Oryctolagus cuniculus: one gene and its partners. The protein of the gene in region 3 purifies or fractionates together with the protein of the main gene of each other region. This does not show direct contact. Links are inferred from orthologs where the notes say so. Each region holds a gene or a part of one and is shown on either strand. Other genes may lie near its edges. The genes, in order: DLST, PDHA1 and OGDH.

Region 1 (5,890 bases), on a different chromosome or scaffold from region 3:
TTTTCAAATAAATAAATAAATCTTAAGACAAATAAATAATAGGCAAAACCACATGTATGGTTTGGGACATACACACATTGAAGCCATAATGAGAATATAGCTAATGAGAAGGTAGAATGATTTGGTACGATAGTGGTTATCTGAGGGTGATGGCTGAGGAGGGCCACGTGGGGTTTTTCCATTCCCTATGGGCATTCTCTTGATTATTTTTCTTTAAGCCATCTGCATAGATCTAAATGTCCTTATGAATATATATTTTACAATGAACATTTTTAAAAATTCTCCTTTGAACCTTGCTGGTTTTGAACTACCTGTCCCAGTAGATAATATTGTGTTCTGGGAGAGTGTGGCAGGCTGTGCTGGCTTACTGGGTTGTACTTTGGACTCCGAGAGAGCTCAGACATAAAAGCGAGGAAAGCAGTTTCAGCCTTTAGCCTCTGAGAAGGACTTTGCATGGTACCTGCATGGAGCGCGCGTGTGTGTATGTGTTGCATTTAAGACTGTAAAATTTAAAATTAACTCAGGTGAACCCTCAAACCCCAGGAGATGTGCTTTGCCAGCATCATCACCAGGCTTGAACTTCTAAGCCTTTGATAAGAATTGAAAAATTAGAGATTAAAAAGTGAAAGGATTAAGTAGCCATCAAAGACCCATTGGCAGCAACCCCGGCAGAAGATGGCCTTTGCTGCTGGTTTCTGTTCTTGGACTCCTTGTGTGCCTAGCGTGTCCCAAGCATGGGACTATTCAGTCATTTCACAAGTGTTTACTGGGAACCTAAGAGAACCAGGCTCTGTGTCACAGCCAGAGGATCAGGAAAGTAAAGAGAAGTTTCGTTCCCAGTTTCTGCTCTGCCCAGCGGAAGCAGCGCATGATGGCACCACGCAACACAGAGGCACAGGCACCTGCTTTGGAAGCCCAGAAGAAGTAACTGTTGACTCTGCCAGAGGGGTTAGGGAGGGTTCCAGAGAGAGACTTACAGGGTGATTACAGGCCCGCAGGGATGATTACAGGAGGGCGGGGCTGCGCAAAGAGCGGCATCTGTGGGAACGGGAGGGGCATCGGTCGAAGAAGCCAGATTATCAGGTGCCTGGTCAAGTGGCGGAGTTGAGACTTTGTCCGACAGACACGGAGAAGCAACCGAAAACTTTAGGCTGGGGAGCGACAGGATTAGGTTTGCCTTTCAGGATCTTTGACATAGGTGTGAAGGAGAAGCTAGAGAAAGTGGGAGTGTGGGGCCAGCGCTGTGGTGCAGCAGGTAAAGCTGCTCCCGGCTCCCTGCTCACACGCCTGGGAAAGCAGCAGAGGACGGCCAAAAGCTTGGAGCCCTGCACCCACATGGGGGACCCGGAAGAAGCTCCTGGCTCCTGGCTTTGGCCTGGCCCAAATGCAGCCATTTGGGGAGTGAACCAGTAGATGGAAGATCTCTCTCTCGCTCTCGCTCTCACTCTAATTCTGCCTTTCAAATGAATACAGTAAATCTTAAAAAAGAGCACGAGAGTGGAGAAAGAGTGCTCAGGGAGCTTCGGAAATAATCCAGGTGAGGGAGACCGAGGATTGGTCACAGCGGCAGCGGGGCACGGATTTTTCCCTGCAGGGTGGACAGTGAGAGAGAGAGACAAGACAGAGAGAAAGGTCTTCCTTTGCTGTTGGTTCACCCTCCAATGGCCGCCGCGGCAGGCGCGCTGCGGCCGGCGCACCGCGCTGATCCGATGGCAGGAGCCAGGTGCTTTTCCTGGTCTCCCATGGGGTGCAGGGCCCAAGCACTTGGGCCATCCTCCACTGCACTCCCGGGCCACAGCAGAGAGCTGGCCTGGAAGAGGGGCAACCGGGACAGAATCCGGCGCCCCGACCGGGACTAGAACCTGGTGTGCCGGTGCCGCAAGGTGGAGGATTAGCCTAGTGAGCCTCGGCGCCGGCTTTCCCTGTGTCTTAAAATCTGAGCTTGAATCATCGCCCGCTGCCTCCCGGGGGGGTCCTTGAGAGAGGAAGCAGAATTTGAACCAGGCACTCTGACACGAGACGTGGGCATGCAAGGCAGGACGTGAGCACCGCGGCCGATGCCTGCCCTTTCTTCTCCCGATTTCTGGTTGCATTCTCCGCCCCCCACCCCCAGTGGTACTTTCAGCACCTGGAGAGTCCTGACCAGGTAAGCTGCTTCAGGTGAAGACACCAGAAGGCACAGGCACAGACCACTCGGTCACACTTCATCAATTACCAGTTCAGCCGCAGGTTTATAAACCGCCGTCTCTATCAGGCAGGTGATGATCCATAACATTCAGGGGCCTGGGGACCTAAGGGGCGGCCACGTGGTTTCACTTAGGGAGCAGCAGAGCAGTGTGCTGACGGCAGGGAGGCCCGGATTCCGCCCACAAACTCTGCGCACCTGAGCTGTGCTGGGGTGCAGCAGCGAACAAGACCGAGTTTAAACTCCAGGTGATAGGAGTTCACGTTCTCAGGGCGGGGCCAATTTCCAAAAATGTGCGGCATGTACAGGAAACAGTTTGGAAGGAGAGCTTGAGGGTGTGTGTGTGTGTGTGAGGGAGAGAGAGGGAGAAGCCTGATGCTCTGAGAGGCAGTGACACCTGCCCAAGGCCACACAGGTGTAAGATCAGGCAGCCACGTATGCCAGGATCCGAGTTCAAAGCCCGTGCCTGCTTTTTGCTCTCTCTTCGTGGGGCAGGGGGCAGAATGGCTAGGTACCCCGGGGTCTCAGACAGAAGAGGGCCAAATTCCGAGCCAGCTCCGGGGAATGGCCAGGGAACGCTCGACCCCGGGGGCCCTGCGGTCGCCGACAGTCGTAGGCACCCTCGAGAGGGCTGTCTCGGGCAGGCAAGCAGGCAGCTCAGTGGCCACCACAGCCTGCTCTGGAACGCCGGACCCCGCGCCGCCCAGCCGCCCCCACCACCCTCGCCAATGGTTCGCTCCGAACACCCCTCGCAGCGTGGCGGGTGCTGCGGCCCGCCCCACTTCCGGTTGTTGCCGGGCCCTATATCCGGTGTCCGCCCGCCCTCAGCGCTGCTGTCGCGATGCTGTCCCGGTCCCGCTGCGTGTCCCGGGCGTTCAGCCGCTCGCTCTCCGCCCTCCAGAAGGTATGGTCCGGCCGGGCCGGAGCCTCGGCGGGTGAGCAACCTGCTGATGGACAGACGGGCGGCCGGGAAGGCGGGGGCGCAGCGCGCCTGCCAGGCCCGGCACCAAGGGCACTGGGACGCAGAGGCCGCGGGCTGGCCGGCCCGGGACCGCCTCGCCCTCGGGGCTGTGTTTCGAGGCCTGCGGGGCAGGCCTTCCCGAGGCACCCGCACCGACCGTCACCTGCTGCCCCCCGCCCCGCGCGCCGGGGCTGGGGAGCCGCTCCCGTCCCGACATCGGACGGCCTCTGCTGGACACTCGGGGGCCCGTCCCGTCCCTTCTGTTGAAGCCCGGGGGTGTCAGTCAGTCCCGTGGGGAAGTTGGGACGGTCGGGCGGACGCGGTGTGCCGGCGGGGTCCGCGCCCGTCGCGGCTGTCCGTGGAGTTGGGAGATTGCCCGTCCCCAGCGCCGGGGCAGCTTTGCGTGCGCGCTTCGCAGGAGGAGCGGTTTCTCCCCTCGTTTCACCTCGGGTGACGTCGATGATGTCTTCTTTCTCAACAGGGGAACTGCCCTCTAGGGAGACGCTCCCTGCCTGGTAAGTTCTGCGCCGGCCGTCGCCTGACCCGCTCTCCTCCCGGGGCAGAGCGGCGTGTACGGCCACAGGCAGCCCAGTTGCCGCCTGTACCCGCAGCGTCACGGAGTGTTTGCTGTGCGCCAGGCCCCTGCCAGCCCCTCGCCCAGGACCCAGCAGCCCGCAGGCCAGTGGGAAAGGCCAGATGTGCACGCACTACCCATCAGATGAGCAGGCGCGAATTTTGGTTCGCGGGGTTGGGGTGGGGAGGACAGGGGCGCCTGCTCCGAGTAGGTGACATCGAGTCTGCATCCTGGAGGATGTAGCCGGGGAGAGCAGGAGGCAGAGAGGGAGTAGCTTGTCCAGTCCCCGGGTAAGGAAGGAGGCTGGCAGTGCTTGGGAGCTGGAGGAGAAGGGGGTTCGGCCAGGCATTTTGGTTAAGGGGGAGAGTGCCGTGAGATAGCAGACGGAGTCTGCATTGTTGGAAGGAGTTTAGTTTTTTATCCCTTTTTTTCTTATTTTTTGGGGGAGATTATTAGTAGTTTATCTTATATAACTTATCTTTAAAATTAGGTGCCTTGTATATTTGTTGGATGAGTTAGTTTTATTGTAGGCTTTCATTGTACCAGATATTCTCACTGCGATCTGTGCGTATTTTAGTTCATCATCACAAACCTGAATGAGAAGTATTATCTCTATAAATGCATAACCCAAGGCAAGAAAGGGTAAGTGCTTTGGCCAAGGTCACTCAGCCAACTACTGGTCAAGCCAGGCCTACCTGACTCCCCAGCTTGAACTCTTACTTTTTTTTTTTTTTAAAGATTTATTTATTTGGAAGGCAGAGTTAGAGAGGGAGAGATAGAAAGAGATCTTCCATCTGCTGGTTCACTCTCCAATAGCCACAGCTGCGCCAGGCCAGAGCCAGGAACTTCACCTGGGTCTCCCACGTGGGTGCAGGGACCCAAGCACCTGGGCCATCTTCCACTGCTTTCCCAGGTGCATTAGCAGGGAGGTGGATCTGAAGTGGAACACCTGGGACTTGAACTCGTGCCCTTATGGGATGCCAGTGCTGCAGGCAGCTGCTTAACACTGACTCCTCAGCCTAAACTTTTTTTTTTTTTTTTTTAAGATTTTATTTATTAGAGAGCTAGAGTTATAGACAGAGGGAGAGACAGAGAGAAAGGGTGTCCATCCACTGGTTCACTCTCCAAGTGGCCGTGATGACCAGAGCTGGGCTGATCTGAAGCCAGGAGTCTGGAGCTTCTTCCAGGTCTCCCACGTGGGTGCAGCACCCAAGCACTTGGGCTGTCCTCTGCTGCTTTCCCAGGCACATTAGCAGGGAACTGGATTGGAAGTGGAGCAGCTGGGCTCAAACTGGCACTCATATGGGCGCCTGCTGGCACTGCAGGCCATGACTTAACCCACTGTACTACAGTACTGACTCCTAGCCTGAACTCTTAATCCATTATGTTCTCATTTACTCATGTACTCAATAAATGGTTTGAGTGCTACTACAGTGCCAGCCCCTGTGCCTGGTGACAAGGAAACAGCAGATGGTCTCCACATTCGAAGATCTTAGGCTGGCTGGAGAGAGCGTGAGCAGATGTTTGTGCACACGTAAGGACATGATTGCATTGTGGGTACTCAGAAGTCCAGCTTGATGAGACAGGGGATGATGCAGTCCAGCTTGGGAGAGTAGGGAATGCTGATAAAGGCTTCCCTGAAGAAGTGACATTGAAGCTGAGACTTGAATACGTAGAAATTAGCCAGGTAAATGATATTTCAGGCAAAGGGAATTGCTCTGTCGAGGTTTTTAGGCAGGCTGGGAATTGCCCTATTAGGGGAATGGAAAGAAGCCTACCTGGCTGCAAAGTTAGGTAGGACTGGATGGTACAGGACTGTGCAAAGTGTTTGGACTTTATCCTGAGTCCTGAGAATGTGAGACACCAGCACTGTGTCAGTTCCTAGCAGGCGCTCAGTGATGAACTTTCTCTACTAGGAATCCCGAGAAATGTCAGTAAACATTCTCCTCTTTATAGACTGGCAGGACAAGGGGGGGACCCTTGCACGTGGGGTTGCATCTTGGCTGGGCATTCACCCGGGGTAGTCAGTCAATCCCCGGAAGCCCTGCTTATATATGAAAAGCAGTGAAGGCAGGTGGTTGTACGACTTCAGAGTTGCTATGAGCCTTGAACATCAAAGTAGGTCGTTACGTGCAGCTTTTTATAAACCCTCAAGCACTGTGCGAATGAA
Region 2 (5,890 bases), on a different chromosome or scaffold from region 3:
CTCACGTCATTGAGGCCAGTGCTGTGGCAGTGTCAGGCTGACACTTGTTTCAGAATGCCAGTTTGAGTCCTGGCTGATCCAGCACCCTGCTAATAAACCTGGGAAGGCAACGGAAGATGGCCCAAGTGCTCAGGAAACCTGCTACCCACATGGGAGACCTGGATGGAGTTCCCAGCTCTGGTTTCAGCTCAGCCCAGCCCTGGCTGTTGTGGCCATTTGAGGAGAGACTCAATGACTAGCAGTTCTTTCTCTTTCTCTCTCTCTCTCTCTGCCTTTCAAATAAACCTCTTTAAAAAAAAGAAGTCGCAACAAATAAAAACACTAAGACAAAGATTATGATTTTAAATGCAATTCAGTCTTCTATAAGAATTTTTAAAACTATCAATTTAATTCAAAAATAAATCACAAGCTTGTAATTCATTCAAAGTTTCCTGCCAAACATGTCATGATACAATGATAATCGACAAGCCTGAGATAAATCACCATACATCCCTGGTTTTAAGAGGAGAAAAGAAAAAAAAAATGAAAAGGGGAAAAAACAGAGTTCTGGAAGGCAAGATAGGGCACAATGTGGATAAAGTGTCACAACCATCAATCAAACGAACCACTTGACCTTTCTCCATCCCCTCCCTCTCTGAGTATCACACAGATGGTGCAACTCTAGTACCCAATTTGCCTAATTTAGGTTAGTCGCAGTTGATTATTATCAGGATTTTTGAAAGGCTTATTTGCAAAAAATATTTTTACATATATATGAAAGTAAAAACCTTGATTATTTTGTTTTTTATATTTAAATAAAAAGACATCCATAAGTATGAAAAAAATCACAAAATATAGTTATTCTCAGGGGTTGGCCATTTAGCATAGCAGTTAGGATGCTGGTTGGGACACCTGAATCCCACTGTACCCGGGTTCAAGACCCAGCTCCACTCCCAAGTCCAGCTTCCTGCTACATGTACTCTGGGAAGCAGCAGTCATGGCTCAAATAGTTGGGTTCCTGCCAACCACATGGGAGACCTACACTAAGATTCTGGCTCCCGCTCCCGCTGGCTCAGCTCCAGCCATTGCAGATATTGAATGAGCAAACAGAAGATCTCTCTCAGTCCATCTCTGCCTTTCAAATAAAATGTGTAAACCCTGACACATTGGTTTATTACTCCATCCTTTAAAAAGATAAAGGTGAAACATCTGGTCCTTACCATCTTCAGAAGTTTCAGAAATGCCTCCTAGTTGACTAGCACGTGACACGTATAGTCACACAGAAAACTATCTGTAGAGTTTGCACCAAGTGGGAAGCTGCCTGGGTACTTTAGGGTGACCTGACTGCTGGAACTCAATTTTTTTTCCTACTGGAAGGTAGGGGAAAAGAATAAACCTGAGTGCCTAATAATAACGATTTAAGGGTGTTTCTGAGCCCCTAAGTACTGGTACATCTACAAACCGGTATCACCAAAAGGGATGACTTAGAGAAAAGGCAGAAACTCTGCTAGCAAGGTTTGACAGTGGAAACTTTTTATCTATTAGTTTCCAATCGCAATTCAAATTCTTGACACCTCCCAAGTTTAACTTTGAAGTTCCTGGGAAACTGTTTCTTTCCACTAAGTGCGAAGCTTCAATAACAAAGTTTCTACTGCTTTTGCACTTCTAGTCTATCCAATCTCACAGCAGAAAGGAAAGGCCACTTAACTTCTGCAGATAACTAAAGCACTGCACAATGCTGCAAACACGTTTCTACTGCTGTTTTTCCACTAAAAACCAATGCTAGGGGATTCAACGAGATAAAGCTGGGAGGTATCTACTAGTGCCTAGCACATACTGCGAGCTCAAGAAATGGTGGCTGGAGCCTGCGTGTGGGCAGAAAAAAGGAATGCCCCTTGTGCTTCGCCATCAGGTCAATCCCAGTACAATTCCAAGGTCAATACAGTTCTGATCAATCAAATTCTCCTGTAAATCTTAGTAAATGGGATTCCTAGAGGGGTTCAGCCGCTACCTTTTGACAACCTCTGCCCAGACTAGGCACAGCTGCATCGAGTCCTGGGAGAATTACTAGAACCGGAATTACAAGTCAAAGCTTGGCTCTGCAGTTATACCAAGTAACCCCATCTCACTGTGCCCAGAGGTCAAAATGCTAGCAGCTCAGGTGAAAGGCGCATCTGAAAACTGGGGCTGCAAATAGCTTAAGTGCGATTTCCTTTAGCCACCTTTACCCTAAGGGGATGTGTGTACGTCCCCCCCCCCCCGCACTTAAGGGGGGAGAGCAGTTTCCTGTGGGTTCCGCTGGACCGCTTTCCACTGCCAAGAAAAGTTAAGCCGGAGAGGAAGTGGGTTCCTGGGGAGCGTGACCACGTCTAAACCCTCAGACACCCACAAACGTACACCAAACTGGGCGGTCAACACAGAGTACCCACTATGTGCCAGGTGCTAGTCGGAAACGTTTACGCACGCGTCACTCGTAGAATCCTCAGACAACCCCACGAGGTAGGTACCCTCATATACATTTTAGAGATAAGGACACTGGGCGGGGTGGAAGGTGGGGGGGGGGCGTTCAAAACTTGCCCAAGCTCACAGGACTGCTGTTTGAATTCCAGCCAGTTCGTTTCCGGATTCCACGCTCTTTACTAACACCCACTAAAGGACCTCTCAGCCAAGACAAACATTAAGTTAGGGAGAACTGAAATGAGTGGGGTCAAGTGAAGACTCTTACAAGCTTAAGGCACCCCCTCCATACCCTGCAACCAACGGGCACTTTTCGAGCACACCTAATCGCTCCGCGCGGAGCTGGGCTCGGGGAGAGCCGGAGAGTCGTGACCGATCTCCACGCGGACCCGGCAGGGGTTGCCCCCCCTCCCCAGTCGGCCGCCCAGCGCCGTTCCCCCCCGAGACTAGACGCAGAATGCACGGCGTGGAGGCAAAAGCAAAAGCCCGCAGCTCCCCCGGCTCCCCGCCGCATCTTTTACTCAGCGCCCAATCCAAGCAGCGCGTCTAACTGCGAGCCCCGAGGCCCGGCCCGCCCTTCGGCCTCCTCCGGCACCGCCTCGGTCCCGTTCGCGCTCCATCCCGATCCGTCCAGGCCGCTGGCTCGGGCCGCCTCACCGGCTTCTGGGCAGCGCCAGACAACACGCGGGAGACAGCGGCCAGCATCTTCCTCATGGAGCGCAAAGAAGCTGCAACAACGGCGACTCCCAAACTGCCCAAGGGGAACTGCTAAGCCGACCCCAAGTCTCCTTCAGGCGCCCCAGCAGAAGCCACGCCTTAAACGCAACGCGACGTGGCGTCGGAATGACGTCATGCGCCGCGCCGGGCCGCGGGCCAACCAGGACGGCTCCCAGGCTGTGTTCCGCCCACTTGAAAGGCCTGCGACCACCCATTGTGTGTCGGCGCCATGGGGGGCGGAGTTGCGGCTTCCTCGCGTCACCATGCGGCGGGAGAGGGAGGGGTCGACTATCTGAAGGCGCCTGCGTGGGAGAGTGGGTCCCCGCCTCCAGCCTTCTGGTTGGATTCTGCGCAGACGACGGTGGTAGCCTTCAGGCTGGTCCTGACGTGTGGCTGGTCCTGCTGGTGCTGTAACTGCAGCCTTGGCTCTGCACACGAGATGATGAAGATTAGCAGCCTAGCCGGGGCCGAAAGATAGACGGTACAGTCTTTGTAAGTGATTCTGCCACTAACTTGGCTTTAAAAGATCACGTAATACAATCTGGTCTCCCACGTGGTTGGCAGGGATCCAACTACTAGAGCGGAGCCGTCACCTGCTGCCTAGCAGGGTGCGCTCTGCTTTTCAAAGAAAAACAAATAGGTAAAGGATCACATAACAGTTGTAAAATGCTGCTGATTCCCCAACTAAATACTGAGGAGTCAGTGGGAAAAACCTTTTGGCTCTACTTACTGATTCAGAAGCTCAAAGAGAGTTAACAGCAGGACACAGCCAAAGATAAAAGGACACAGAGAAACAGACTCCAAAGCAACTGGGCTCTGTAGAGAGGAGTCAGGGCTCAGAAACCCATCCTGCTGGGCCCTGCTGGAATTGCACCTAAGGTTCTGGGTTCTGAATTGGCTCCATTTAAAGAAGGATAATGACAAAAATGAGTGGCATCCAGAGGATGGCGGTCACAATGATGAGGGGCTTAGACTGTGACTTGCGAGGAATGACTCAAGGAGTTAGGAAGAAACTGGACTGATTTAGAGTGAGCTAGGTTATGTTGCTGTAACACTCAACCCCAAATTTTAGTCTCTTTAAGAACATCAAGTGACTGGCCAGCGCTGCGCCTCACTAGGCTAATCCTCCGCCTTGCGGTGCCGGCACACCCGGTTCTAGTCCCGGTCGGAGCGCCGGATTCTGTCCCGGTTGCCCCTCTTCCAGGCCAGCTCTCTGCTGTGGCCAGGGAGTGCAGTGGAGGATGGCCCAAGTGCTTGGGCCCTGCACCTCATGGGAGACCAGGAGAAGCACCTGGCTCCTGCCTTCGGATCAGCGCAGTGCACCGGCCGCGGCGGCCATTGGAGGGTGAACCAACAGTAAAAGGAAGACCTTTCTCTCTGTCTCTCTCTCTCACTGTCCACTCTGCATGTCAAAAAAAAAAAAAAAAAAAAAAAAACATGAAGTGACTTAGCTTGTTCATACCACAACTTCCACAGCTTGGCTGGGACTGCACTCCATGTCATTTCTCTGGAACCTTGAGTGATGGAGCAACCTCTGTCTGGAACTTAGCTTGTCTCACGGTGAAGGGAAAAGCTGTCACTTCGAATGGCTCTCAGAGCTTCTGCCTGAGATCAGCGTAGTGGTGGAGTGGGCTAAGCCAATGCCTGCGATGCCAGCATCCCATATAACCACCAGCTGAAGTCCCAACTGCTCTGCTTCCAATCCAACTCCCTGGTAATGCACCTAGGAAAGCAGCAGAGGAGCAGAGGATGGCCCGAGTACCAGGATGATGTGTTGGGCTCCTGCCTTCAGCCTGGCCCAGCCCTGGCTGTTGCAGCCATTTACTAACCAGCAGATAGAAGGCCTCCCCTCCTCCTCTGTCACTCACACCTTTCAAATCTTTCTTAAAAAAAAAAAAAAAGAATGATCTAACCCGTAAGACATATTTGTTTGTTTGTTTGTTTGTTTTTAAAAAAAAAGCTTCTGCCAGAAGTAACACATATCACTTCCTCTAATGTGCAGGAGGGAGACCAGAAAATTGGGTGGACAGCAACAGTGTAGAGGACTTGGTACGTCTTCACACTTGTACTTCCATGACCAGGTTGCCACGCGATGAGCGCTCCCTAAAGGCTGAGAGGGACGGGATGGCAGTGAAGCAGGCTGCCCAGCGTGGCCTCCGCAGATGCTGCTGCTGCCAGAATGTGGAAGCTGGAGAAAGGAGAATGAGAAGAGTGCGAGGCCAGATGGCCAGTTTAGAGAAGCCGGCCTGACCGTTTGTGGACCTGCTGGCCTGCAGGCAGTGGTGGGACAGCTCCCCGAAGTTGTCCCCCAGCAAGTGGCAGTTGTAAGTCTAGGACACAAGCTAGAAATATAAATTTGGGAGTCATCTGCATAGAGCTGACATTGGTTGTGTGCGTCCAGGAGCCCTGTCGGCTCTATGCATACACATGCATTCATTCTTGCATTCCTTCAACACCTATTTGTTAGACACCAATTCTGAGTCAGGCATTGGAGTAGGCACAGGGAGGGGGGAAAGAGCAAGGAATAGAGTCCCCAGTCCCACAGAGCTTACAGTCTAGTAGGGGGTTAATAAGTGCACATAAGTATATATTACAGGGGCATATAATGCAGGCAATAAATGGTATGACAAAAATTAAACAAGATAAGGGAATAACAGGAGTGACGTTAGAAGGGCCCCTGTTACCATGTCTTGTCCGTGTCCTGGTTGGGGAACGGCTTCACCTGTCTTGGACTGGT
Region 3 (5,817 bases):
TCACTCTAATCGACAAAAACAAGTACAAACTATCACACCACACCCAATTTGAAACAGATAACTTAATCTTTATTAACTACAAAAGAAATTTAATTTGTAATTGCAAACTTGCTGAAAAAGCTATTTCCAGGCCCAGATGGTTCCATTGGAGAATTCTACCAAATGTTAAAAATGAATTAGTTCCAGTTCCACACAGAATCTTGCAGAAAACACAGGAAGAGAGGACATTTATCAATTCATTTTATGAAGTTATTATTTTCCTAGTGTCAAACCCATATAGACAATTAAAAGCAACACACTTCAGACTAACATCATTCATGAGTACAGATGCAAAATCCTTACCCCAACACCAGTCACATCAGCACACTCTGGCAATACAAAACATGCAAAGGCAACAGACAACACGGCTGTGGTGGATCGGATAGGCTAAGTGTGTCCCCCAGGGTCCCCAGGCAGTGTGCATGAGACGCTGCGACCAGATTAGCAAGAAACAATCCTGATAAGGAATAAAACACAAGATCAGTCTACCTGACTTCAAGACCCACTGGGTGGCACTGGTGATGAGACAGATCAACAGAACAGAGGACGCAGAAACAGTCACACACCTGATTTTTTTAAGATTTACTGATTTACCTGGAAGGCAAAGTTAAGAGAGAGACAGAGACAACTTCCATCAGCTGCTCCACTCCCCAAATGGCCACAGCTGGGAACTCCACCTGGGCCTCTCACATGGGCGGCAGGGGCCCAACACCTGAGTCATCTTCCGCTGCTTTCCCAGGTGCATCAGCAGGGAGCTGGCTCAGAAGTGGAGCAGCTGGGACTTGAACCGAGCTCCCATCCGGACGTCGCATGTGGCATCTCAACCTGCTATACCAGCCCCACACCTGATTTTTGACGAAAGTGCAAAAGCCACTTTGTGGAGAAAGGATGTTTTCTAACAAATGGTCCTGGTTAAAGATCCACAAGCAGAAAAACCAAAGGCCAAAAACTTTACAATATACATAAATCACCTCAAAATTAATCAATTTAAATGTAAAGCACAAGCATAAAACTTCCAGAAAAGTACACAGAATAAAACCTTCAGGAACTAGGGCTCAACAAAAAAATTTCTTACATCTGACAGCAAAAGCGCAATCTAATCAAAAGCAAAACTGATAAACCAGACTTCATCAAAGTGAAGGACCATCAAATGGGGACCCACATTGCCACCTGCAATACCAGCATCCTGTATGAGCACCAGGTTCAAATCCCAACTGCTCCACTTCCAATAAAGCTCCGGGCTGATGTGCTGTGGGAGCCCCGGGTGGAATTCCAGGCTCCTAGCTTTGGCCTGGCCCTGCCCCAGGCACTGTGGCCATCTGTGGAGTAACCTGCAGATGGAAGATCTCTCTCCCTCTGTGAACTCTGCCTTTCAAATAAAACAATTAAATCTTAAAAATAATTTTTTTCTTTACTAAAACCCTTGAGGCTGGCATTGCTCATAGCAGGTAAAAGCTGCTGCCCGTGACACCGGCATCCCCTCTGGGCGCTGGCTCAGGACCGGGCTGCTCCACTTTCGACCCAGCTCCCTGCTAATGTGCCTGGGAAAGCAGCAGCAGACGGCCCAAGTGCTGGGTCCCTGCACACATGTGGGAGACCCAGAAGAAGTTCCTGACTCCTGGCTTCAGCTTGGCTCAGTACCGGCTGTAGCAGTCATTTGGGGAGTGAACCAGAGGATGAAGATCGATGGATCGATCTCTCTCCTCCTCTCTTTGTGTAACTCTTTCAAATAAATAAACCTCAAAAAAAAAAAAAAAAAAACCCTCAAACTTTTGCTCCGCAAAAGATGCAGTAAAGATGAAAAGACAAGCTCAGACTAGGAAAAAATATGTACAAAATACACATCCAAAAAGACCTGCTATCTAGAATATACAAAGAATTTCCAAACCTCAACGCTTATCCAATTACAAAACAGGCAAACATGGGGCGAGCGCTGCAGTGGGTAGAGCCGCAGCTTGAAGCACAGGCATCCCATATGCGTGCCAGCTGGGAGTCCCGCTGCTCTACTTCTTTTTTTATTTTTTTAAGATTTATTTTATTTATTTGAGCTACAGAGAGATGGAGAGAGGTCTTCCATCCACTGGTTCACTCCCCAGATACCCCAACGGCCAGAGCTGAGCTGATCTAAAGCTAGGAGCCAGGAACAACTTCTAGACCTCCCAAACAGGTGCAGGGCCCAAGGACTTGGACATGTACTGCTTTCCCAGGCCATAGCAGAGAGCTGGATCAGAAGAGGAGCAGCCGGGACTAGAACCGGCGCCCACATGGGATGACAGCACTGCAGGCTGGGGCTTTACCCCGCCACGCCACACGGTGGTTCCCGCTCTCCTTCTGATCCAGCTCCCTGCTAACGGCCTGGGAAAGCATCGTCAGATGGCCCAAGTGTTAGGCTCCTACACTAATGTGGGAGAGCCAGAAGCAGCTCCTGGCTCCTGGCTGTGGCCACTTGGGGAGTGAACCAGCAGATGGAAAATTCGCTCTTTCTCGCTGTAACTCTGCCTTCCAGATAAATACAAAAATCTTAGAGAAAAAAAAAAAAAAAAAAAAAAAAAAGGAAAGGCTATGAGTAAACATTTCACCCAAGAGAACACAAGGATGTCAAACAAGCACATGGAGATGGTCAACGTCACTCGCCACCAGAGAGGTGCAAATTACAGACATAATGAGACATCACTACACATCTAATAGCACGGCCGACGTAGAAAATAGCGTCAGCAGCTGTGGAAAAGCCGGATCACACACACTGCTGCGGGGAGTGCGCGGCCAGTCCACAGAGGAAGCTGGCCATTTCTGCTAGATTCAACACGCAGCTGCTCTGACTTGTGGATCGCACTTCCGGTAACTTATTTCAGAGAAACGTCAACTTTGTTCACATGGAAACCTGCACAAGAGGCAGTGGGCATTTAGCCCCGGGGCGACAGCTGCCGCCCACACCAGAACGCCTCGGGCACTCCCAGCTTCCTTCTGACGCACACCTGCGAGGCAGCGGCCACAGGTCCAGCAGACTCCGGCCACTCACGTGGGAAACCCGGGCTGTGCCTGACCTATCACCAGCCCTTGGGAAGTAAACCGGCATTACGGGAGCGCCAGCCCAGATGGCCACGGCCCTCCGCGGAGGAAGAGAGAAGCCCACCGCAGAGCCTGGAGGGAAACAGAGACGCCAGCGGCCAGCTGGGTGAACTCGCCGGCACGTCCGGCTGCTGCATTCCCAACACGAATCGAGGCCACCGCAGGGCGCTAAGCGGTGGGTGTGGTACGAGAAGGCACCGGGTCCGCGGCGGCAGAAACGCCCCGCATCCCGGCCTGGACCAACGGCAGTCTTCGGCTGTGGTCTCCAGAGCGTATCAAGCAGAGAAGTGGGTACAGGACTCCGCGCCCTGTACCCGCACGGAACGGACCAACGGAGTAGGTTCCCTGACTTACATAAGCCTCAACATTTTAAAACCAAGTGCTCCACGCACGCAGAGCCCCTGGGAACCGCGCGTCAGGACCAGGCTCCCCAGCCCGCGCCGCGGCACCCCCAGCTCCTCGCTGCGCTCTGCCAACACTCCGGAGTCCTTCGTGTCTCGCCCGCGAGCGGTTCACTCCGGACGCGGAATGGCGCACTTCACGTGGGCGCGTCCTACGGCGCGCGAGGCGCTACCTCAAGAACGCGGCGCCGAAACGTGCCAGGGCCCCCCGAAGCCCGAGGACGCGGCTCCGTCCGCCCCGCGCGGCGCTCAAGGACGCGCGCGCCCTCCGCGGGCTCGCCACAGGCACGCGGGGCGCACGGGACGCCCTCTCCGCCGCCCGACACGTGACGCCGCGCGACCTTGGGGGTCACCCTGGCCGCCGCTCCCCACTTCCGCCGCCGGGGCCCACCCAGGCCCCCACGGGCCTCGCCGCGCCATTGGCTGCCGCGCCCGCTCGTCAGGCGCGCCCCTCCCACCGCCCCGTCCGCCCGCTCTGTCCTACTCCACTCCGGGTCACCAAGCTGCCCGCGGCTCCAAGGGCGCAGGGCCCCACCCTCGCCGTGACCAGCGACTCGAGCCTGCGGGCGCCGCAGCCCCCGGCCCCTGCCCCCAGCCCGCAGCGGCGCGCGGTTACCTGTCTCCCGCGCGGCTCCACCCGACTGAGGCGCCGACACCCCGCTCCGGGGCACCAAACTCTCGGCCCCGCCCCGGCGCGTGGCGTCAGCACGTAGCCCCGCCCCGAGCAGGAGCCCCGCCCCTTCCACGAGTTGGCGTCGTGGCGTCACAGAAGCGCGCCGGACTCTGAGGGCGGTGGGGTAGGGGCGCCGGCTGCTGCAACCCAGGCCTGTGCTCGGGCCCGCAGGACGGACGGGTGGGCTTCAGCTGCCGCTTCCTCGGCCTCAGTGCCCGGTGCCTGACAGCCGTGTTTCCTAAGCCTCTTGGGAATTCGAGAGCGGTGAAATGGGTCGAATTTGAGCAACAAAGTCCGCGCCAGTAGGCGCCCATTTTGCGCCAGGCTCTGTGACTGGCGCTTCGGCTGCGCTATTCTGAGTGTTCCACCCTTAGTGTGCAGAAGGCAGGGGCCCACCCGGCCCCTGGCCCCAGAGCCCTCGACCGAGATAGAACGCTGATGGGCCCCTTTCAGAGTGTTAGGATTTGGGGAAAAGTCTTTCCAAACTGATGACGTCCGGTGAGTTACGGTTCGTCAAGTACTGAGGCAAGCCCTTGGGACGGCTTTGACGGAGCGAATCTCCGGCCTCTGGTCGCAGAGCAGCCCCTCCGTGAGGACTGAGTTGAGGGAGTGGTGGTCCCGCCGACCCCACGGGCGTCCCGGGTCGCCAGACGCAGGAGCTCCTTTGTGTCCTCTTTTTTTTAAATTTTTTAAATTTATTTATTTATTGACAGGCGGAGTGGACAGTGAGAGAGAGAAAGGTCTTCCTTTGCCGTTGGTTCACCCTCCAATGGCCGCCGCGGCCAGCGCACCGCGCTGATCCGAAGGCAGGAGCCAGGTGCTTCTCCTGGTCTCCCATGGGGTGCAGGGCCCAAGCACTTGGGCCATCCTCCACTGCACTCCCGGGCCACAGCAGAGAGCTGGCCTGGAAGAGGGGCAACCGGGACAGGATCTGGTGTGCCAGTGCCGCAGGCGGAGGATTAGCCCAGTGAGCCGCGGCACCGGCCTCCTTTGTGCCCTCTACGGACAACATCTGGGTCCCAGGTCCCACATGGAGGCCTCAAATGGAGGGAGCCCCTCAAGATCAGGTGCCCGGCCTGTTGCTGACCCAGCAAAGGAGGGCCACCTGGGTGCGCACCTGCCTCTAACCCCCAGCCGTAGCCTCAGAATTCCTTATCGTTAATCCCCCCAGGAACCCTGGAAGCCAATTTGTTAAGGTAGGTAGGTGCATAGTAGCGTATGCCAAAGAGGGGCTGCAGAAAATGAGTGTTTTAAAATACATATTTATTTATTTATTTGAAAGGCAGAGAGAAAAGGCCTTTCATTCGCTGGTTCAGTCCCCAAGTGGCCACAACACTGGGCTGATCCGGAGCCAGGAGTTTCTTCTGGTCTCCCTCGTGGGTGCAGGGGCCCAAGGACTTGGGCCATCCTCCACTGCTTTCCCAGGCCACAGCAGAGAGCTGGATCAGAAGTAGAGCAGCCAGGACCTGAACAGGCGCCCGTATGGGATGCCGGCACCGCAGGCCGCGGCTTTACCTGCTAAGCCACAGCACCACCCCTGAAAATGAACGTTTTTAAAGAAAGCCTTATATGCAGTGGAACAAGGAAACACCCTGCAAACAGCCCAGCAGTTGTACCATCTCCCAGGGGCCAGCG

Evidence for each region.
Region 1: the proteins of OGDH (region 3) and DLST fractionate together in Homo sapiens (co-fractionation; 3 studies listed by BioGRID). This does not show direct contact. The link is inferred for Oryctolagus cuniculus from reciprocal best matches to the Homo sapiens genes OGDH and DLST.
Region 2: the proteins of OGDH (region 3) and PDHA1 fractionate together in Homo sapiens (co-fractionation; 3 studies listed by BioGRID). This does not show direct contact. The link is inferred for Oryctolagus cuniculus from reciprocal best matches to the Homo sapiens genes OGDH and PDHA1.

Annotation. Positions count from the first base shown.
Region 1 is NC_091451.1:20,941,396-20,947,285, forward strand, and holds the start of DLST (dihydrolipoyllysine-residue succinyltransferase component of 2-oxoglutarate dehydrogenase complex, mitochondrial), read left to right. Parts: upstream 1-2,966; 5' UTR 2,967-3,026; coding exon 3,027-3,089; intron 3,090-3,627; coding exon 3,628-3,661; intron 3,662-4,573; exon of another isoform or gene 4,574-5,890. UniProt on the Homo sapiens protein: Dihydrolipoamide succinyltransferase (E2) component of the 2-oxoglutarate dehydrogenase complex. The 2-oxoglutarate dehydrogenase complex catalyzes the overall conversion of 2-oxoglutarate to succinyl-CoA and CO(2).
Region 2 is NC_091453.1:5,375,333-5,381,222, reverse strand, and holds the start of PDHA1 (pyruvate dehydrogenase E1 component subunit alpha, somatic form, mitochondrial), read right to left. Parts: upstream 3,287-5,890; 5' UTR 3,151-3,286; coding exon 3,094-3,150; intron 1-3,093. UniProt on the Homo sapiens protein: The pyruvate dehydrogenase complex catalyzes the overall conversion of pyruvate to acetyl-CoA and CO(2), and thereby links the glycolytic pathway to the tricarboxylic cycle.
Region 3 is NC_091447.1:51,952,412-51,958,228, reverse strand, and holds the start of OGDH (2-oxoglutarate dehydrogenase complex component E1), read right to left. Parts: upstream 4,229-5,817; 5' UTR 4,126-4,228; intron 3,822-4,125; exon of another isoform or gene 3,683-3,821; intron 1-3,682. UniProt on the Homo sapiens protein: 2-oxoglutarate dehydrogenase (E1o) component of the 2-oxoglutarate dehydrogenase complex (OGDHC). Participates in the first step, rate limiting for the overall conversion of 2-oxoglutarate to succinyl-CoA and CO(2) catalyzed by the whole OGDHC.